Linked DNA regions of Rhinolophus ferrumequinum. The protein of the gene in region 2 interacts with the protein of the main gene of each other region in a biochemical or structural test. Links are inferred from orthologs where the notes say so. Each region holds a gene or a part of one and is shown on either strand. Other genes may lie near its edges. The genes, in order: PRKCZ, MBP and TLK1.

What was found.
Region 1: of the proteins of MBP (region 2) and PRKCZ, one has a biochemical effect on the other in vitro, tested with the Homo sapiens proteins (2 studies listed by BioGRID). The link is inferred for Rhinolophus ferrumequinum from reciprocal best matches to the Homo sapiens genes MBP and PRKCZ.
Region 3: the proteins of MBP (region 2) and TLK1 form a complex in vitro, tested with the Homo sapiens proteins (2 studies listed by BioGRID, with this or other methods). The link is inferred for Rhinolophus ferrumequinum from reciprocal best matches to the Homo sapiens genes MBP and TLK1.

Annotation. Positions count from the first base shown.
Region 1 is NC_046292.1:901,785-908,902, forward strand, and holds the start of PRKCZ (protein kinase C zeta type), read left to right. Parts: upstream 1-4,113; 5' UTR 4,114-4,325; coding exon 4,326-4,396; intron 4,397-7,118. UniProt on the Homo sapiens protein: Calcium- and diacylglycerol-independent serine/threonine-protein kinase that functions in phosphatidylinositol 3-kinase (PI3K) pathway and mitogen-activated protein (MAP) kinase cascade, and is involved in NF-kappa-B activation, mitogenic signaling, cell proliferation, cell polarity, inflammatory response and maintenance of long-term potentiation (LTP).
Region 2 is NC_046302.1:58,915,795-58,923,844, forward strand, and holds the start of MBP (myelin basic protein), read right to left. Parts: upstream 3,066-8,050; 5' UTR 2,934-3,065; intron 2,928-2,933; exon of another isoform or gene 2,669-2,927; intron 1-2,668. UniProt on the Homo sapiens protein: The classic group of MBP isoforms (isoform 4-isoform 14) are with PLP the most abundant protein components of the myelin membrane in the CNS. They have a role in both its formation and stabilization.
Region 3 is NC_046291.1:53,177,510-53,184,931, reverse strand, and holds the start of TLK1 (serine/threonine-protein kinase tousled-like 1), read right to left. Parts: upstream 3,080-7,422; coding exon 2,941-3,079; intron 1-2,940. UniProt on the Homo sapiens protein: Rapidly and transiently inhibited by phosphorylation following the generation of DNA double-stranded breaks during S-phase. This is cell cycle checkpoint and ATM-pathway dependent and appears to regulate processes involved in chromatin assembly.

The DNA.
Region 1 (7,118 bases), on a different chromosome or scaffold from region 2:
ACCTTGGGGCACCCAGCCAACACCCGCCGAATGAATAAATAAGCGAGTGCAGTGAACGTTGTCGCTTGCACCAGTTTCTCAAAATCCCGCGACTTGTGACAAAGAAAGGAAACTTCTGCTGCCCATTCTGGGCTCTTCCTGTGACCTGCTGGGTCCTCGTGGTCCCCGCCGGGTCAGTCTCACACCTGCCAGGATGACCAGTGGACCCCCCTACCCCCAGGTGACAAGAGGGCACAGGGAGTGCTGGTGGCTTCCACAGGCGTGTCCCCTGCCCGGCTGGGTCTGTCCAGGGAGGAGGCGTGTCAGGACTGGAGGGTTTCTCCTCGGCCCACATCCTTCCGTGATGTGGGATTTTACAAGAAGCCCGTGCCACTTTTACAATCACTTAACAAAAACACATCTTTGAATTTTCATTTGGAAATAAGAGGTGTTGGTGATTATGAAAGTATATGAGGTCTTTGTGGAAAATCTGGGCAAACAGAAACTGCCCAGAGGTGAAAAGGACCCTCCCTCAGCCACTGGGGCCCTCCTGGGTCTGTCTGGGGTCTTGCGCTCAGGTCCAAGGGTCACCTTCCTTCTCCGCCCACATGGGTTGTCCTTGCACCCGCCTTTAAGCTGCTGATTGCAGAAGGGGAGAGGTGTAACTCTGCCCAGTGACCCCCAGAACAGGGCCCGTGGTCCTAGGAGGCCGGCCTTGTCCCAGCACTTCCAAGGGGTCTTCACCTATTCGTTCATTCATTCATTCATCCATTCATTCATTCCACTGTGTGCCAGATGCTCAGAGACATGGGGACACAATAGTGACCCCGGCTGACTGGCTCCCAACCCCCATCACTTCTGGAGGGGCAAGTGGTCTGAAAATTGGGGAACAGACACCCTCCCTGGTCACCAGAGTACAGAGCAGGTGGCAGACACAGTGACAGCACTGGGTGCCCAGGACATCACAACCTCACTCTACCCTTGAGGCCTTAACAGGGGTGGCTCAGCGCCGGTGGCCACCAGGAAACCCCCGAGGTCACCCGCCCCCAACCTTTGGAGGTGGTCTGAGGGCCTGGGCAGGTGGGGGCCTTTGTTTTGCAGAGCTAGTTGGTGGGCAGAATGCAAAAGTCCTGGCCTCCACCTGCTCTCAGGGGACCTTTTCTGGGCACCGCAGGCTACCCTCACTCCGGCCTGGGGCTCGATGTGGTCCCAGAGCCAGGCGTGGAACCTCCCCCCCAGGATGGCCTCCTGAGATAGGCACCTCCATTCCCCAAGCCCGCGGAGAACAAAGCCCTCCCACCCCAGCTCTCTTCCGAACTTCCCCTGCCAGGATTGGGGACTGCAGTGACCCAGGTACCAGCCTCCAGGAGGGAGGCTCCCACATGGCAGCTGAGGCGAGACCAGTGCCCAGGGGACACTGGATGTCAGTGGCTCCAACCCCAACAAGGCTGTCCCGGTTAGAAAGGGCTCTGGGGTTGTACTTGGGCTGTTGTGTCCACTGGGGCCTTGGCTAGGGCATATCCGAGAAATGGTGTCCCGTGGAACGGCCACCCACCAGCCCGTCCTGCCTGCTGTGGGCATCAAGCTCTGGACTCCTTCCCTGTTGGGCCACGCTTTGAGGCAGAAAATCAGAACACCCGGGGATGCTGTGGGATGTCAGATGGCCTGTGCCCATGAAGTGCAACCCGTCAGGAGTGCCCAAGGCTGTGGGGACAAGACTGCAGGCCTCGCATGGGGGTGGGGTTGGGAGGGCTGCACCCCACACATTTGCCTCCTGGGCTGCCGCTCCCATGGCAGATTCCTGCTCATCCCTCACAGGGTAAACACTCGTACCTGGTTCCCCTTCACGTCCAACTGAAAGTCATGGAGCTCTGTGCCCAGGCGGAGGGATGCAGCGGTCACCCCACAGGGGGGAGGCGGGCAAGCGGACTGATACAGGCATCAGGAATGGTCAGTAGAGACTCAAAGGAAGTGTGGGTTTTGGAGAAGTAGCTCCTGGGAGAGGGAAGAGTGGTGAAAAGGCCCCGAGGTGAGCAAGAGGCAGGAATGTGGCCAGGTGGCCAGGTGGGCTGAGCCAGTATGAGGATGGTGAGAGATGAGGGCAGAAGGAAATGGGACCCCAGTCCCTGCAGAACCTGGGGTTTTTGCCTGTGATCCATGGGGGATCATTGGGGATTTTGAACACCAGGTGGACACAGACTGACGCATGTTTTAAGGAAACTGGAAGCTTCTGCAAAAATCCCAGTGCTGAGGGTGGAGTGGGAGGTGGCCGTGGAGGTGGCAGGACGTGGCTGGAGTCTGGACCTATGTTGAGGGTGGAGGGGCCCGGATTTGCAGCTGGAGGGGAGTGGGGTGTCAGAGGCAAAGGGAACTCCAAGGTTTTTGAGTTGAGCACCTGGAAAGGAGGGGTTGGCATGACAATGAAGGAGGTGAAGGGCATGGTGGAGGGAGGTCTGCTAGGATGAGAGGTTCAGGGGAGCGGGCTGAACTTGGGATGGCATTTGGAGCCAAGGAGGAGGGGTGGGGGAGAGAGCATCCTAGGGTGAGTTCCCAGGGGATCATCAAGGGTCAATTAAGAAAAAGTCTGAGGAGTGACACAGGAGTCCCGGTGGAGGAGGGGCTCAGCGAAAGTGGCAGGAGAAAGTGGGGATACGGACTGCAGATGGCTCCTTCCTGACAGGAATTTTGTAGTAAAGAGCAGAGAAATGAGCAGGTGGGTGGCAGGGTGTGGGGTGCAGAGGGTTTCTCTAAGAAGGGAGAATTCACAGCACCTTAAGTAGGTGAGAGATGGGCCGTCAAAGGGCTTCTCTGTGGCCATCTCTAGGAAGAACGTGAGCTCTATGACCACTTGGTTCCCCAAGGGTCCCCCCAACGCCTGGCACCCAGGAGGCGCCAGGAAGCATCTGTGGAATGAGAGAGGGTGGGAAGCCCTTAGGATTGTCCAGGTGAGGAGTGGTGAAGGCTTAGCAGAGACTGCGTCAGAGGTTGCCAGCTGGGTGGAATGTGGAAGGGGGGGGAGGCGGCCGGAGAGTAGCCAATGGAAGGACCGGTTTGGCAGGGGTGGCAGGGATGGGGGCTGCAGACCTATGAGCCTGGGATGCCCACCTGGCGCCCAGGTGAGGTCCTGCTAACAGCACACGTGGGTCTCTGTGGACGCAACGAGTAAGGGGTGGGTTCCTCAAGGAAACCCAACCCCACATTTAAGGGCGGGGGGGCTAGGCTGCAGGCCCTTAGAGAAGGCGTGAGCCGTGGATAGTGTTCAAATGCAACCGTCCAGATCAAACGCCAAGGTGGACGTTGTGGATTCAGAAATGAAGGTCATGGGCGACCCCGGCAAACGCAGTCTCCTCGTCCCAGGAGCAGAGGGAGCCGGCTAGCGAGTGTAGACAAGCCTCCCCTGCAAGGGGATCTTGGATTCCACGGTGGAGGAGGGCGGCTGGGGCCCGGACAACCATCGGGGCCTGGCCCCTCTCAGCCGTGGTCTTGGCCGGGGTCTCAAGACCTCGGTCTCCGCATCAGTAAACTGTCCGGACGCGGGGCACTGGGGATTCGGGGTCGGAGCTGCTGACCCACACTTGTCCTCCCCGGAGGCGGACCTCTCTCTGGCCGCCCCCCGCCCACGTCACCAGCGACCCCCTCCTCTCTGTACCCCAGACCAGCGCTTGCCCTGGAATCACCCGGGTCTTGTTAGTATAGATGGCTGGAGTTTCGATTCAGCGAATCTAGACCCGAAAGTTGGCATTTCCAAGTTCCCGGGGCGTTGCAGCACGGAGACCCCACGTAGGAATCGCGGGCACCGGAGCCCACTGCACCGAGGGGAACGCGCAGGGCGGCTGCTGTCGGAGTCCCCGGCCGCCGGAGCCGCCGGGGGTTGCCGGGCAGAGCCGGGCCGCGCGCGCTCCCATTGGCCGCAGGTGGACCGCGCCCCGCCCGACAGGTAGTGTCCCCGCGCCGCGCCATTGGGCCGCGGCCGCGGGGTCCCCCGGGGATTGGCCCAGGTGGCGGCCCCGCCTCGCCCTTATTGGCCGCAGGTGCCACCGCCCCCGCCCCGGGACCGTCCGCCCCACCGATTGGCCGCCGGCTGGGTCGGCCATGTTCGGACTTCCCCCCCGCGGGGCCTGACGCCGTACTCCGCGGGAGCGCGCCCCCGCCGGCCGCGCCCCCTCCCCGCCTCGCGCGCCGCCGAAGTTCTGCGGAGTTGGCGGGGCCAGTGCTTCCCGACCCCGCGCCGAGCGCTCCCTTCCGCGTTCCGCCGCCGGCCCCACCTGACGCCGGGCCCCTGGGGGCCCCGTGCCATGGCCCGAGCGTCCTGGGCGCGGCGCTGACGGCGGCCGGCGGAGCGCGCCATGCCCAGCAGGACTGGCCCCAAGATGGACGGGAGCTGCGGCCGCGTCCGGCTGAAGGCGCACTACAACGGGTGAGCCCTGGCGCCCGACAACCGCCCTGCGGGGCGGGCGCGGGAGCAACCCGCCCCGCGCAGGTCGTCGGGGGCCGTGTCGCCGCTGCAGCGGGCGGCCGACAGCCGGGGGCTCCCGGTCGCGGCGCGGGAGGGAAGGAACGGCGAGGCCCCTCCGGGCCCAGGGGCGTCCCGGGAGGTCCTGACGCGCCAGCGCCAAGGGGCGGCCGGGACGAGGTTTTCCTGGGCTCGGACTTGCGGGGGGGACTCCGCGGCGCGGGCGCGGGAGCCGGAGGCAGGCGTCGCCGAGCGCTCCACGGTCCTGGGCAGTGTTGACATTTTCCCTGGAAAGTTGGCTAGGATACTAAGGCCACAAACCTGTAAGGATTCAAGTTTTTGTCAAATTGTGAAAACTGCTGGCAGACTTTTAAAAATCGGGGTTTCCTAAATTTTCTCAATTTCCGCGGCCAGAGATCTCAGTTTAAGGAAAGTTTATGACCTATGCGAAGGCCAGGCGGTTAGTCGCCGGTGTTTGCACGAATGCCGGGCGCCTGGAAGGGCTCGGCGCGGTTCGGTTGAGACCACACCTTTCGGACACTGACCAGCCCTGCATCCGCGCACGGCGCCTTGGACTCTACCTGCCTCGCTGTGAAATGGGGCGAGTCGGCGCCTCACAGGGGTCAGTGGCCGGGAGCGCTGGACACTTGGCCGCCGAGCAGCCCTGGTGGGGACAGAGCGGGTGGCGTCCAGAGGCCGGGAGCCCGCCGCCACCCCTTGCGCGGTGTAGACAGCGCTCTAGGAAGAACTAGGCTCTTTGCTGCTGCCTTCCACCGGTGTTGGTCTCCAGGAGTCCCCAAGTCGGACCTTGCTGCTCCCAGGGTCACCACTGCCCGGTGGGGGTGGGCAGAGCGGAGCGCCGACCCCACGGGTGAACTTGGCGGTTGCAGCTGTAGTAGCATGGAGTGGGGTCTGCCCCGTGGGCACAGCGCTATGGGCACCGCCCTATGGCACCGCCCAGCGAGTCCTCAGGCTGAGCAGGGGCTTTGGGTTGTTGACCTGAGCGTTTCTTGTTTCTGATCTCGGGTCAGGCCTTTCCTGTCCCCTCGGTGCCCCTCAGCCTGGTGGAACGGTGCTGGGGGGTTGGTGGCAGAGCCCCAGGGCAGAAGGATTTCTGGGGGCCGTGCTTGCAGGCCTTTGTGAAGAGGCCCTGAGTTCTATCTTTTGGCCAGGAAGGGTGGGCTGCGATTAAAGCTGGTGGGGTGTCAGCTAGGCCCTGGCTCTGTACCCGTCCACAGGTTTGAGCTTATCCACCGGCTTGCCCGGGGTAAACTGTGGATCCACTGTGGAGCATTTGAATTGAGCAACCGGCCTTTGTGAAAATCAGAGATGGTGCTCGATGAGAAGATGCCCGCACCCAGAGCGGCCTGGGGGTGGGGTGGGAAGCAGACCCTACAGCCTTCCCCCAGGACAAGTTCCAGGAGGCACCTGTAGGCCTTGAGCTGTGGCGTGGGGGCCACAGTGGAGGCAGGTCCTGGGGAAAGTTCAGCAGACCTGGGGGAGTTCTGGGGAAGCCGCCCCGCCCACCACGTCCGCTCCCCTGGCTTTGGCCCCGGGAGAGCGATTTGGTTACCAGGAGTAATGTGACCTGTTGAGCCTGGTTTCCTCAGGCACAGGAGGCCACGCCCCACCGCTTTCCTCTTCGTTCCATTCCAGCCTCTGCTCCTTCCTCCCCTTCACCCATCCCGTCCCATCCCTCACCTCTCCCCCCTTCCCTTCCCTTCCCTCTTCCCCTCCTCCTCCTCCCGCTGCTCCAACACTCCTCTCCCTCCCGCACCCCTCTTTTCTGCCAGCTGTGCCCTCCCTAGGTTCCTTTGCAGGCCCGGCTCCTCACTTCCTCCCAGGCCTGCTTTTCCTAATGGGCTCCTGCACGGGGGCGTCACCCAGGGAGCTGGAGACGCCGCTGTCTGAGTTGGGAGACCTAGTCCTCAGAGCTCCACAGTGATGCAGGTTCCAGAAAGTGCCCGCCAAGGCCCGGGCTCTCGCACAGACCCCCCAGGTCCAGGTGAAATCCCGCCTCTGGATGAGATGCTGCTGGTCCCTCTGGGTAGGGGGTTGTTTGGGGGCAGCCCGGCCAGGGGCCAGACACATTGAAGCCGCCATTTTTAAAAAGCGGGGGAGGCTCTTCAGCTGCCCCTCTGGTCACCCTTCGCATCCCCTGAGACCTCCCAAGGCTTGAGATCAGGGTCTCCCTCCCCTCTCGCGGGGCCTTTAGAGGGTGTGTGGTCACCGGAGTCTGAGTGGGGTCTGGCAGCACCTGTGTTTTCCATGGAGTTTTCAGGGGGTTTCCGGTTGATGCTTGGGGCGTTTGGAGACCCTATTCTGCCGGGCTAAACCTCACATGGCCACTTTTCTAAGGTCAGAGAGATGACTGTGCTGGGTCTGCCCTCCCTCCAGCTCAGAACGCGAATTGTCCAGGACCTGCGCCGTGCGAAGCCCAGGCAGGGGCTGTGCTCTGTGGCCTGACACACCTGGGGTCCAGGGAGGGGCCGTTCCGGGCGGTTGGGTGCTCTCTCCTGGTCGCCGGCCCAGGGCTCTGGCTTGCTCAGAGGGGCTGCTGGATTCAGGATTGGGGTGAATCAGGGGTGGGGGTCAGGGGCCTGGTGGGGGTCAGGGGCCTGGTGCCTGTTGGGGGTGGGGCCCTCCCCGTGGTGCTGCAGTCCTGCCCAGGAGGGGAGGCGCCCAG
Region 2 (8,050 bases):
CTTCCGAATAGGCGTTGTCAGTTACCTGGTCGCAAGGTGAGGGAGACTGCCTCCACTCACGCCTGCGAGGTGTAGCCTCCCTGCTGGTCTCTGTGCTGCGGATCCACTTGCCTCCCTAGCCCCAGCCCCTCACGCTCCATCTCTGGTGTGCAGCTCCCACGGATTCTGCTTCTCTGGTTACAGCCCGGCTCTGCACTCAGGTGCGGATCGGGAGAAAAGCCCAGCGGCTCATCGCTCATTGGCTACCTTTGGAAGCACGGGGTCTCCCAGGACACCTACAGCTGTGTTAATAGCCACTCAGGAGCGCCCAAATCAGGCCGGCTCACCTTCCTTTGGGGGCTCCACCGGACCAGTAGATGTGTCCTTTATGATTACTTACTAAAAATTATACTAACTAGTCAGAATACTTCCTTTTCTCCTTTATTGACAGCTAAGGAAGTAAAGGAGAGGATGACTAACAAAGACACATGATAGCACCATTATAGTCAAATCATTGTTAAGAGGAAGCATGGTTTTCGGGGGTGTGGCCACTCATTCCGGGTGGAATTTTTAAAAAGGATGAAAGGATGGTAGGTCTGCAAGGTGTCCTATTTACCCAGGCCACGCAAGACAGCCACTCGGGGCTGGTGGCCGACCCTGGGAGCCGAGTCCTGTGCGCCCCCGTGGTGTCTCTGTGCCTTGGTTTCTCTGCCAGGAAAAACGACGGTATAATAGGGTCGTCATATCAAATGAGGGTAGTCATGACTGTTGATGAGGTGACACGGAGCCCTCCGAACACAGCCTGGCAATTTGTAAGGGGTCAGTAAACACTCCCTGGATACCTGGGTAGGAAAGAAAGGCACAGAGGCAGCTGCTCACATTGTGTCCAATTTTTAAACAATCCAAACTAAAATTCAAACATGATAAACTTCAGTTATATTTAAAACTTCAGGCGGAAACAGGAAAATCACAAGGAAGATTGGTCTGCTCTCTCTCAGTTCACTGCCATCGCATTCAAAACCATGACAGCAATTCATCGCCACGTCACAGAACAAGTCACTTATGTCAAACTCTCTTATCTTTGCGCAGAAATGCGATACTTTAGAAAGATGTTCAAAGTCCATTTGAATGTCGTTTCGGAACAGTTAAATCCTTGGGAGTTACTGTTAACCAATATTTTACAATAGTTTTTAACTGGACTCTTTCCTTTCAGGTTTCTGTTTATCCCACTTGAAAAACTAAAACTACTGATGAGGAGTTTTTCTTGGCGGGTAGAAATATGGCTCTCAGGCTGCTGGCTTCTCTCACGTCATCTCGTCCATCATTGCTGGAAAAGCCATGCTGTCCCCAGCTCTCCTAGCTCTGAACACCTGGGGTCTCAGTGTCTGAGGAGGCCCCATCACTCACAGGGAGCCTGCCTGGGGGCCTATGGGACAGGACTGACCTGGCTTAGACCCAGGGTGGTCCCCGGCTGTAAAATGTCTTCCTGAGCTTGGCAGGCTATAATCTCCGAAAACCACAGGTCTTAAATAGGCGGCCCCCTAAAGTTCCCTGGTCTGAAACACGCTTTCCAGCCAGCTTTCCAGCCGCGTGGGTGTGGGCTGCCAGAACAGCGCCCCCACACTGTGTTTACACCCTCCCAACACCCCCAGCTAAGCCAGTGCCTTCCGCGGATGCAGAGACCAACTGAACACATGGTGTTGATTCTCACTTCGTAGTAACTGCCAAACAGAACCAGGAACCTGAACGCGCCCATTTCCTGCCCTTGTCTCACTGAAATCCCCAAACAAACTTCGCGGTTTTAACAAACCCCACTCCGCCTTCCGAAACAGGGGCTCAGTAGACCCTGTTTAACAGAAACCAGGCGCCTCCACCAGCATCCCACGAGCCTTAGAGCCACCTGGGCGCCAGGGAATGGATGAAGAACACACACTATTCCCGGGGACCCCCACACCAGGAGAGCCGGGCCCAGGTGTCCATGAGAGTCGCGCCCAAGACGGGCCCGCGCAGGCGCCCGAGGGCAGGTAGGCGCAGGTGGGCACAGATGGGTTACAGGTGGACACAGGCGACGGCGCGGGCCAAGCGGGGCCAGGCCCTGCGAAGGCGGAAGCCAGGCGAGTCGTGTGTCGCCAGCTCAGAGCTCAAAGGGAAACTGGGCTTCGTCTGGGGGTGGGGAGTCCGCGGTGGTCCGCTGGGCTCCAGGTGCGGCATTAAGCGGCACTTGAAGCTGGTAGGAACCCCCAGGCTGCCATCAGCTGTCACCACCACCGTCCCCGCCCCACCCAGAACTACCTCTTTGCCCTTGGTCACCTTCCACCCCTACATTCCCCCCCACCGCCACCCCAGACTGCTCGCTCCTCGGCGTCCCTGGCCGTGGCTCCAGCCAGAGACCACCTCCCGAAACCCGTCGGTTCCAGCCCAGCCGCCGCAGATCTTCGTCTACACCTGCGCTCATCACGTTCAGGGAGACCACAGGGCTGCCACCTGCCCCAGCACCTGCGCCGCTGCTGGCGGGGGAGAGCGGCGGAAGGTCCCTGGATGAGACGCGGGACAGCCCCCCACCCCGGGGCCTTCCCCAGCCCTGTGCTCCGAGCCTTCGCTCCGGGTCCCTCCCGGGTCCCCGCGCCCCGCTCCCAGCGCGCGGAGACAAAGCGCCGCCGCCCGCCCGCCCCCGGCGACGGTCACCCACCGCACTGCGCTCGCCGCTCCCAGGCTGAGGGCGCCGCGGGGTCCAGTTCACCTGCCCGCCGCCCGGGCCCCAAGCGCGGGCTGCGCGGGGTCCCCGGGCTGCCGGCGCCGCCTTCCGGGTAGGAGACGCGGGCCGCCAGGGCCGGAGGCTCGCTCTCGCTGGCGCGCCGCGCTGACTGGCGGCGCTGCTTAGAGGCCGGGCGCGCACCCCGCCCCTTCCCGCCTCCAAGGCTTCCTGCCGCCAGGTAAACACTGCTGAGTCCCACCTGCCGCCCCCGCCGGCGCCGCCGGAGCCAGGACGACCCTGGGGACAGCCTCGGGGACGGCCTCGCCACGCGGAGCCGGCGATCCGCGGGGACCCCGCGCCTGTCAGCCCCGGAGGGCGGGGTCAGAGTGCGGCCGTGCTGACCTGCTGCTCCTGGAACCCATCCTCCTGCTCAGTGTTTGAAACCACTAGGTGAGGCCCGAGGGACCTGAGACAGCATCTCCTCACGCTGCAGTTCACGGTGGGGTGACCGAGGATCCAGCCAGTTCAGTGCCGGGTCTTCGGTGCTCCACTGGCCAGCCGTCCACAAAGCCTGGCCCTTGGGGAAAACCAGAGATTAGTTCTGCAGGGACCCCAGTCCAACAACAGGAGCTGGGCTGGAGAGCACAGGGTTCCATCAAAGAGGCAGATGGAGAGCACCCAGGAAACATTAGAAAGTGCCCAGAGCTGGGGACAGATCCTGGGTCCTGCAGCTCTGCAGCATTTATTGGCTTGTGGTCGGTGTCATCTCTTGGTCCGAAGGTGCTGCTGTTTGGACATTAGTCATCTGGACACACAGATTTGGTGGAGTCTGGGAGCCTTTCCCTGGATCCTTGGCCTCCTGAGGACAGCCAAGTAGGAGGGCACAGGAGGCCAGGAAACCCTCCTGACTCAGATTCCAGGTCAGGGATGGAATCTGACACTTCCCAGGAGACCTGGCCCCACACAGGGTTTGTTAGGGGAGGGGGCAGTCTGGTGCCTGCAAGACTCAGTGAGCCCTGTCCCCAGGGCCAGCTGTGCAGGGACAGCTTCCGGGCACCCTGCCCAAACCAGCCATCCTCAAGGACCCCGGAATCCATCAACTGCATGCAAATGCTGGTGATTCTAAGGGAAATACATCCGTGATCATATAAATATTTAATCTGATCCTTTCTCAGGAGAGATGAGGACGTGGGTTCCTGGAGTTTGAGGCAGACGTCAGGAGGGCAGTGGAAAGTGATGTGTCCCCAGTCTGTATGCCCTGTCTTTTCATGCTGACTTTCAGGAAAGGAAAACTACGGTGGGAGGAAGGGACCCAGACAAACGCTGAGGGCGCAGTGGGCAGTGACTCTACCCCAGGCTGCTCAAGTCGCTCTTACTCCCCCTCACCCCCCCACACACTTGTTAAAGCTCAGGCCAGGGTGCTGGAATCCGGGGTGAGTGGGGTGCAGAGGACACTGGGTTTCTGGCCCACAGATGTCAGTGAGGGTGCTGATGGGAGGCTTTCTGAGCAGCCGTTGTCCTTCCTGCTGGTGGTGCTGCCGGTTTCTCAAGGGTTTATAGAAATTCCACTTAGGCCAGCAGTTGTCTGCAAACGTCAGGCTTATCAGTTACAACTCCTTTTTGAGTATTGATAAAATTCCACATGCCTATTTCATGGGGATTTAATGCCCCCCAAATTCACGGGTACTCCAAGGAAATTGTATATGAGGGAGTCAGGAACACTATTTAAAAGAGCAACGGAAGGGCATGTGGAAGGTCCAGTGTTAGCGAGGGATTTGCCCTGCTGCCTGGCTTGGGAAAGGACCCAGGGCGTCACCCCTCAGTCACATGAAGACGGCTCCGCACGCACCCTTTAGCAAAATACAGGTTTCATTTTGCTGAATAACGCTGGACGGGTCTTTTGACAAGTAAAGGATAAGTGATCCAAACCTCATTGTCTCTTGGACATTCCTAAGAAAATCGTGTTATACTTGGCTCCCTCTCTCACACACGTCAGAAAACGATGGCAGGAGCCTTCAGCATGTCGTACTGCAGCAACTAGTTCAGGGTTTTGTGTGTGATACACACTCAGGAAGTTTTTGTTCAGTTGAATTAAACTCCAAATTCCCCAAACTAATGGAAGGAAGTAAATTAATCCAAATAATTCCCACCAAGCTTACTCTTTCTGCAGTTCACCTGAAATGGTGAAGAAGCTTCACCTCTACTGAGAACGGCTCGCCGTTGCGGGTTGAATTAACTCCCCAGAAAGCTACATCCACTTCCTACCCGATCCCTGTGAATGGGACATCGTTTGGCAATGAGGACTCTGCAGATGTCCTCAAGCTAAGATGAGGTCGTTAAGGTGGCCCTGACCCGCTGTCATGGGTGTCCTCATAAGAAGATGGAAAGACGGGCAGAGGAGACGCAGAAAAGAAACCGAGGTCGGGGGCAACTAGCGGACAAGTGGTTATTTTTTAGGATGACAGAAAGGACGGCATATCTGAATGTGACTGGCCTCTTCTGGAGAGAAGGGACCCTAGTCTTCAAGGTGACACTTGGAAGTGCTGCTTAAGGACGGGAAATGTCTATGATTAACTCCCTGCTTTCACCTTCTTCGGTGCTTATGAGCACAAGGGGGCATCTGAGTTTTGTGGGGCTCACAGCCTATCCCATTTGGGAGCCGTTTCTAAGGAGCAGAGCAGAAGAACTGGATGCACAGTGAGGTACACGGTACCAAAGGGACATTGATGGTTAAGCTCAGGTAACAGCGCTCACGCGGTTCTGTGGCAGGTAAGAGCGCAAATTACAAACTGAGGACCCGTGCGCCTCCTGTCCGTCTCTCCCGGCTGCATAGTCACAAGTCTCTTCTTGGACCAGGCGGTCGGAGTCTCTGACCTCATGGCTTAACAGTCCCCATGAAATGGGAGCAGGAGTAGTTGACACTTTGCAAAGCCCATTAGCCTTCAGGGAGCACTGCTACTTCCAAGTGTGTTTTGTGATATACTTGCCACCACCAATTATGAGAAAATGATCCTGTCGTTGGAGCTCCTGGCTAAATTGCACAAGATAAATGGAACCCAGTAGGTTTTACTGAAGTGAGTGTTCTTCCTGGCTTTTAATGTTCTACCTCTTAAAGCATCTGATGGGAGGCCGTGGAAGAAGCCAGGCCAGGGACTCTGCACGTCTGTATCACTGTCTCTGGGATGGAGCATTTCTATAGACCTGTTCCTATGGCAACCAGAAGCAGAGGTTCATTTGGTCAGGAAAATAGAGCACACTTCTCCGTTTGGCAAGGATATGTGGCGCAGGCTGTTCAACTCGGTGTGAGTGCGTGCAGCTTGCCTGGATCAGCAGCGGTTTCATCTGTACGGCGGCATCATACAGGGGCCGTTGTGCACAAACAAAAGCAGTGTGTGCTGCTCCAGGCATGAGCAGTGCTGGATTTCCCTAAGACCCTGTGCACTCAGGTCTGATGTGACGAACTAGCCGAAGGAGCCAGACTGGCAGACACCCTGCATCTCACGTTGTAGGGAAAATGGTCTTCTGTTCACCCAGCCGTGGCTGGTTTCTCCTCGGCCCTCAGAAGGCGGCCAGCTCCGATGTCAGCGTGGCTCTTTCCTGCAGTCCTTAAACCTCTCCTACGTTTGGAGTTTTCCTGCCGTTCCCTAGTCCTGCAGCTGTCATCACCCACGTGCCAACATACAAGCGAGCAATTTAGCCGTAAGCTGACCTTTAAAGTGTCAGGGATGGCCAATCACTGCCCTGTCTTCACCTCACCTCAGCCAATTCCACATTTAGAAGTCATTCATAGTAACACCCCGCTCCTGGACCAGATTATTCATTGGGTGCAAGTAGAAGAAAACCAATACAACCAGCAACTGAGAATAAAAGGGCCGCATTCTTACGTCACGAGAAAGTTCAGCAGGAAGCTGAGGAAGAGGAGAATGAACTCACAGCACCTCTTTCCTTTCCCTGAGCAGAGCTGCTGCAAGCATATACAACATCCAAGGCCAACGGGACAAGGCCACTCATTGGTTTAGAAGAAGCTACATTTTTAACACTTAGGGAGTTTAGCTGGCTCAACCCTGCCTTTCTAAATATTTTCTGATCTGTTTCTCTCTCTCTCTCTCTCTCTCTCTCTCTCTCTCTCTCTCTCTCTCTCTCTATCAGTCTCTCTCCGTATGCACCTATATATGCCTATCTGTCCATCAATGCCATCTTACAAACAGGCCTGACTGCCTGGGCCGTGGGGTGGGGACGGGTGGCCTGCCCTTGGCACCGGCAGTGCCGCTGTCGACATGCTGTCTCTCAGGTTAGGATGAGGTGCGCATGCAGCTTCAGTAGTGAGAAGAGACGCAGCTTGACGGCTCCTGGAGAGGATCCAGTCACCCCTTATCTGTGCTCACACTGCAGGCCACCCGCTGACCCTGACCCTGGGCAGAAAGAGGAGACGGCAGGTGCCGGGCTGGGTAAAGTGAGTCCAGTAAATAATGAGAAATTAACTGTGGACTGCTGGTTTGTCTCCCAGGAGAAATTTTACAAAGAGAGCTCCCCCCCCCGCCCCCGCCTCCATACTCCTTGCTGAGGCTGCGCCAAGCCTCGGGCTCCTGGGCTGCATCTGACTGTAACCGCGATGATTTAAGCTAGGAAATGAGACAAATATGTAATAATCAAGTTGGCAGAAAAGCGTAATTAAAGGCGATGAAATGCGAAGTGAAAACTCCCTGTGCCTCAGGAGGCCAGGAAAGCACAAAGATGAACCTGGTGCTTTGTGCTGTTTTGTCGCGTGTAAATTCCATCTGCATGGTTCTAACTTTTCCAGTTAAATCACACAGCGTTCATAACAGGAATAAGATGGGAAAGTTAGTCCTGGAAGAACACAGGGCCATTTGGAAGCTGCCTGCTCCTCTGGCCACATGAGTCACTCAGGCAATATGTTCAAGACACTAGGATTGCAGCTCAAAAACGCTGATTGAACACCAAAAAGAATCTCCTCAGAAAGACAACGTATCAAAATACATTTCCAGGGCTTTTATCCTTGTAGAAACTATCTGAGGTGATACACAAACGATGTACTGTTCTGGTGTGGGAAGGTGCATTCATCAGGGCTCCCAGAGAAGCAGAACCAATCAGAGATGCAGAGATCTTATCTCTCTACTAGTCTGTCATCCATAAGGAGACTTATTTCAAGGAACTGGGTCACATGATTGTGGGGCTGGAGACTCAGGCGGGACCTGATGCTGCCGTCTGGGGGAAGAATTCTTTTTTCTCCAATAAACCTCAGTAGTGGCTCCGAAGCCTTCCAACTGGATGAGTTCCACCCATAATATCAAGGGCAATCTCCTTAAAGTCAACTGACTGAAGGTATCAATCATCCCACAAAATATCTTTACAGCA
Region 3 (7,422 bases), on a different chromosome or scaffold from region 2:
AATCGCTTGATTATTAGAAGATAAAAATGGGACAGAGACCACAGGTTTCAAAGATCCAACATGAAATCTATAGCTACATTGTGAGAAACTCTCAGAGAAATTCAAGACTGATAAAGAAAAAGTTTTGGGACTCCCAAGATAAATAGTCGTCATTGCTATATAATACAAATCCCTAAATTCTAATAAATTCCTAAATCTTATAATATTTAACTGTATTTTATTTGTAATTAAGCCAAAATTATATTCATATGATGAGAATAGGATGGGAAAGGAAGAAAGTCAAAATATGGAGCATTAAAAATAATTAGCTTATAATCTTAGATTTTCAGTTTCAAATATATCAAAACTTCAAAATAATTAATTTTTTCAGATACTTACAGCACATCTTTAAAAACAGCCCATTTTCAAAGTTAAGTTTTCTTAAAAGTTCATCACATATAACCATTATATGTGGAAACATACACGTGTCTCTTTTAAATTTAAAATTTCCTATTATATAGGAAATTGGCCCAATTTTTCAAGGAACAAGGTTTGTTCTCTTTCTTGATACATACAGTCAAGTTCCATTTATATTAATAGTTCTTACTAGCAGTCACCAGAAGTCGAAAGCTCTCTCAATTAACATCAATTTATATAACATACTAAATGTATACCTGGAAAATATGCTAAACACTAGTTAAAATAAAAACTGAGATCCCACTCAAAAGAAAATGTCTCCATCTTGATACCTGGGGCTATTAGTGAAATCTGAGACTATAGCTTCAAGATGAATATATAACCCTAGGGACAATTAACGTAATTTTAACTTACATGATAGTTGGTCAAAAAGACTATGGCCTTACAGGTACTTGGGGTGAAGAATTACTTTCACAAAAGCATGTACTGTTATTTCATTAATTAACAGAGAGACTCACTAGTTTAGGTTTCATAAAAATCGATTATAATCTAAACTGCTGGAAAAATTCTGGTTATTTGGAAGTTCAAGCTAAATTATTCCAACCCCTCAAAAATTTCAAACATCAGGAAAAGTGCAAAATAGAAGTTTTTTAAACTAAAGTTGAAGTAAACTCCAAAACTTACAATCTAAGTTTTGCAGCCCCCAAATTACTAATACGGATTAGATGTTACAGATGAACAACTAAATACTACATCCTCAGTGTGTAGCATGGCATCTGTCTCACAGAAATGGCTCAATAAATGCATTTGAAAAAAAATAATAAATGAATGGATGGATGGATGGATGGATGGATGAATGAATGAATGAAAGAAAGGTACAGCCTTAAAAACCAGGAGTCTTTCCCAAAACCATCTCTTACTATCACTCATTACATTATCATTCATAACACTATCATTAAGCACCTTAATGAAACTACAGACAAAAGTAAAAACATGCTGAAAGCGCCAACTGCTCTATTTACAAAATAAATTTTAAAACATTCATTTACAAATTTTCCAGTGCAAAAAACATCACCAAATGTGCTAAATTTGAGTTAATCAATAAATAAAACTTTTATCTTCTAATAATCAGAACTCAGTGTCGGGTGAGATGGAAAGGGGAAAATGTCTGTCAATGTATTTAGCATGTTTAATGGATGCCATAAATCAAACCTTTCCATGAATTTTCTAGAGCAAATTCATGCCAATCTTTGAGCCTATTGTCACTTTCACACATGCTCACAGGAACAAAATGACAAAGAATGCTATGCCGGAACCAGTGGATTGAGGGCACAAAACACTTGATTAACAATTGTCAAGGCTCTAGTAGTAAAAATTGACAGATATTTTCAAAATAAATTAATCCCACAGATTCCTACATAAATCAAAGCTCCTGGTTTCTTTAAATGATTTACTAGACTATAGGACTACCAGACGTCTTTTTTTTTTTTTGAGAAGGTGGCTACAATCTCGTGTGACACAACTGGGAGTGAGCCCAAATGCTGATGAATACCGCTCAACGTGTTCCAGACAAAAGAGCGTTAAACGCGATTCCACGCACATTTATTCTTCCCCAAATGTGTGTTCTCCGAAATATCATTTTATGTGGTATACTTAAAGTTAAACACATACAGCAAGTTGAAATTTTAGGGAAAAGCACTCTAGTGTCTTACTAGCTGTGTAACTGCTACATCTGGTGGCAGCACACTTACATGCAAGAAAGCAGAAAACTTAGAAAACAATTGTAACCGATCTGGTGCGTGTTTGCAGTAAACCTTTAAGCGGGTATTTCCCACAAAACCCACGATCCTGTCAGAGAACAGTAGCCTACTTGCAGTAGAGATAATGCACAAACACACAGGAGGTGATGCCGAAGGAAAGTTGCCACCATCTGAAGAGGTGGTTTAAAAAGCCTGCACACGAGTCAGTCTATCCGTTAAATTGCTCTAGGGGGCCAAGCAAGGGATCAAAGTCGGTTTTGATCATTTTAGCGGCTCTCCCCGAAGGGCAGAGACCCTTCAAACGGGGGGCATCCTTCAGGTCCCGGGCAGCACAGCTCGCAGAGCAGGGACCGCCTCTATGGGAGGAGTACGCGAGGGAAGGGGAGGGGGCTCGAGGATGAATGCTTCAACGGGAGGGAAAACCCACCAGAGACCGGAGGCCAGGAGGTTAAGAGTACTGAGTGTACTAGCAAATGGAGCAGAAAGGGGCTCGCGGCCGGGGGGAGTTTTTCCACCCTAGCAGGACTGGCTCCTAAGAACCCCAGGCGAGTCTGTGCCCTCGCCTCGCCCCGTCCCCTCCAGCGCGCACCCCATCTCCCGTGTCCTCCGTCACCCGCGAACCACCACCCACAGCCAGCGCACTACCTCCCCGCAGACGGGCGGCCTCGCGTCTACCTCACCACCATCCCCCACCCCGGGGTCGCGGGGAGGAGACCTAGGGGTCGCGGGTTCCCCAGCGCGCGAGGGGAGGCCCGCGAGCGGGCGCTGGCGCGACGGCGCTTACCTTCCCTGGGCCTCCCGGATGGCGGCGTGTGATTCAGCAGGGACCTGGCCGCCGCCGCCGAGCCCGGGGTTGGAGACGTGGAGAGCTGGGACCAAGATGGCGGCCCCTCCAAACTTCCACTGCTACTTTGGACACTCATCAAGCTACTTTCTGGGAACCCAACTCCCCCCCTGCGACGGCAGCGGCGGCAACGGCACCGGCACCCGCCTCCGTCATGGCGGGGGCCGCGCTGAGGGCGAGCAAGAGAGCGAGGGCAGGGAGGGGAGAGTCAAGGGGATGGGGGAGGAAGCCGAGAAGGGGGGAGGTGGGGAGGGAAGAGGTGAGGGGAGGAGAGGGGACGGGGAGGAGGAGAGGGGGGAGAAGCGAGGGAGCAGGCTGGCGCGCCGGGGAAGAGGCGGAGGGAAGGAGAGAGGTGGCTGAGGCGTCGAGGGGGCGTCCGCCGGTGCCGGGGTCGGAGCGCGGGCGGAGCGCGGGCTGCGCCGGCCGAGGAGACTTCCGCGGGCGGAACCTGCCGGCACCTCTGCAGTGCGTCGGCCCCCGGCGTCGCCCGGGTGGCGGCGGCGGCGGGCGGTGGGTGGCGGCTGAGGCAGCGGGGTAACCTCTGCATCAGTTACAGGCGGCGGCGGCGGCGTCACGCGCCGCCTGTGCAAACACTATCGCGAGGCTCCTGCGCCTCCGGTAGCGGCGGCGGCGGCGGCGGCCGCGGGAGCAGGCATGGGGGAGGGACCTGCCAGGGGTTGGGGGCGGGGGGTGGCGAGGGAGGTGACGCGGGCGCCCCTGGCGCACCCGCGGATCGCGGCGCGGGAGCTTCGGGCCGGCGGACTCGCGTGCGCGGGAGTGGCCTCCCGCGCCGGCCAGAGGGAGACGCGCCCCGGCCGCGCCGCTCCGGCTCCTGCTCCGCTGCCACCTGACTCCCCGTCTCCCGCGGAAGCGCGCGCCTGGCTCCTGACCCACACCCAGCCTGGGGAGAATTGCTGCTGCTCGCTGCGCTGTCGTTTCTCACGAGTTCGATGCGATCATTTCTCAAAATGGAACTGAAAAGTTGAGAGTTGCTTCTTTCCTAGCCATCTGTACTATGCAAAAAAAAAAACCTGTGTGCGTCTCCCAGTCTGTAGAATGGGAGTGATTACAGAATAAAAGCTAAGAAAATACGTCGGGAGTGGAGTGTGGAAATAAAACTTTATGAATGTTTCCTTAAAAAAGAATATTCGATGGTGTTGTGCACCGTATGTGTGGTATAGCAATTCTTTATTTTGAAACTAAGTGGAAAATCTAAACAGACAACTTTGCTTACTGATTTCACATATTTAGGGAAACTATGCAGCGCTCATCTTGTAGAAGAGGGTATGGTTTCCAGAAAGTTCCAGCTTCTTTGCAGTGCCGCTGCTGAGTCCCGACTACAAAATTCCAAAGGAAAATACAGTATTTGCTACAATTTATAGATGCAGTGTAGTTTTCTACACAGCCACACACGTACAGACACATCAGTGATTGGACGTCTTGTATATAAAAGAACCGTCTAATAAGGAAAAATACAAGGTTATTGCTCTCTAAAAAACCAAATTGAACACTAAAAAGATGATATAGGGCAACTGTACAGACATGAGGAAATGGCATGATTACCAGGGGGACAAAAATGTCATTTCTATTTTTTATTTTTATGACTTTGCATTTCTCACAGTAATGTTTTGTTCAGATAAACTCATATTAGACTAGAAACTTGGTTGTCAGTTATCTCCAGAAATAATTTTAGTTTTCTTGTGCTTCAGATTCTTCAGTGAGTTTCTAGTCTTGTTCTGCTTTTCAAACTTAATAGGTAGATTTCACTTCAGTGAGATATAATTGACATACAATAAATTGCACATATTTTAAATGTACAATTTGATAAATTTTGACATATATGTACTCCTGAAACCATTTCTACAATCAAGATAGTGAGTGTATCCATCAGCCTCCAAAGTTTCCTTTACCCCTTTGAGGTGGTTCTTCCACTCCACCCTGACCCCCAAGTAACCACAGGTCTGCTTTCTGTCACTTAGATTAGTTTCATTTTTCCAGAATTTTAGATAAATAGAATCATACAGTTTGTACTCTTTTGTCTGGCTTCTTTTACTCAACATAAACATTTTGAGATTCATCTACATTGCTATATTTATCAATAGTTCATTTCTTTTGATTGCTGAGTATTCCAGTCTATATGAATATACCACACTTTATCCATTTACCTGTTGAATATTTGTGTTGTTTCCACTTTTTGGCTTATTACATGCTTTCCTTTCTCATGGATACATATCTAGGGCCTTACCATTAGATTTATATACCAAAGTATGCGCACACTAGAATGAGGAAACAAGTCCTATAACAACATGTAGGTAAATTATGTAAATGTATGCTTTTTCTGTATTTTAAAAGAGCTTAGCTCATTGTGTAAAAAGCATAAGACAGAAGGAAAGTCAAGAGACCTGGGTTTTAGTCTCAGCAGGTAACAATCCTTGATTCAATCTCATCATCTTTGAAAAAGAGGTTAGAATCACTAGGTGATTTCTAAAGCTCTTAACCAATTCCAAGACTTTATACAGAGCTCCACTCCTCTCAAGAGAAAAAACCCAACCAAAAAGATTGAGGTTATCTTTCTCCCAACTCTCTCCAGAGCTTCTCGTTACCTTTATACCAACCTGGGTAACACTATGCAGACAAACGCCTTTTATTTTAAGTGGTAACTAGAGGATCACAGCATATACTTAATTCAATTACTTTAGCTATGTTTTTGTTATGAGTGCTGCCAAGGAAGGACATTTAAATGACTGATTCCTGCTTTCTTGTAGCTTAAGATGAAGATAGTCAACACTGACTTATAAAGAGGCTACTGCCAGCAACAGGGAACTAATTAAATAAACTGTGGCTTAGGCTGAAAATGGAATGTCATGACATCATTTAAAATCATGTCTTCAAAGAACACTGAAAAAAGATGATAAAATTTTCATACAATAATAAGTGAAAAAGTGGGTATGATCCCAATTTGTTTGTAAGTATACATAACAAATGACTAAAAGGATCCACCCAAAAAAGTTAATAATGACTAGCCTAGGGTTGTGAAATTACATCATTACTCTTTTCCCCCTTTATGCTTTTTCAAACTTTGTGAATCATGTATTAAGTAACAAGTTTAAAAAGGGCCTGAATACAAATGTGTAAATACATAATTTTATAAAATGATTGTGATTAATGAAAACGTTTAAGTGGTAAGTAGAGGTTCCCCCACACCTTGCACATGGTTAGTACATACGCATTCAAAAAACGTTTCATAGGTAGAGCAGATGGCGAGGGGGATAGCTTGCACAATAGGAAAAGTTACCAAAAATCAGGAGAGTCCCGATTCGGAGAAAAAAGGAACAACTGCCACTCTATGAGGGAGGAGAAATCTCAAGAAAAGGAAGAGAAGATGATTAGAAAGGGGTTTGTGGCAAGCTTTCTTGGGGAAATGTTCCCGGGGGGAAGCCAGCATGAAAACACAGGAGTGAACTGAGTAAACGATAGGAGAGTGCAGTAAATCCAACTAGAAAGAATTGGAAAGAGGGTGGACGGTTGGTTCAGTGGTTAGAGTGCAGTCCTAATAACACCAAGGTCGCGGGTTCAATTCCCACATGGGCCAGTGAGCTGCGCCCCGCCCCCCGTAACTAGATTAAAAACAATGACTTGACATGATGCTGATGGGTCCATGGAAAAACACACTGTTCCTCAATATTCCCCAATAAAAATTAAAAAAAAAAAAAAGCATTAGGAAGAGATGGGAGAATGTTCTTTCTGTGAATTGAGTGTTCCATGAGGACAGGGATTTAAGCCCCTAGTACGGTGTGTGGCGGAGACCAAGGGCTCTGTCAATGTGGAATGAATGAATGATGAGGAACAATAAGCTGGGATAAAGGTGAGGGTGCAATGCAGAAGAGGTCTTCAAGGGTCTCCTGAGAGAAGTTCATATACAAAAGGGAGAATCTGGGCCCTGTTCTGTAGACTGATCCTAATTTACAGCTATGTTTATTAAACTCTTTTCTATTTGTATACCATAGTAAAAGTACTTACAAAACATCCAATATTATAGATAATAATAAATGCATTTTATAGCTCTTAACATTTGATTCTTTCTTAATTTGATGAAATAATGCCCAAGCCCCTTTCCCCCAAACCAATCAGAAATGAGCCCAGAGACTGGATGGTGTCCTTTCTGAGGACTTGGGGGCAGGGGGCAGGGGCAGATTATGTACATCTCTCATAACTCAGAGTTCAATGATGTCACATCTGTAGCTTGAAATTGGCTATGGTAAGAGTATTTACAACTCCAAAGTCAGCAAAAACTACAAATAAGGGCTTCCTCACCAGCACACCACTGTTCCCACAGTATATAGATCATTGCCTTACTGTCATTTGTTTCCCCACCTTGGCTAAAATCTTAGGGAGGGCAAGGACCTTATCTGTCTGTCTATT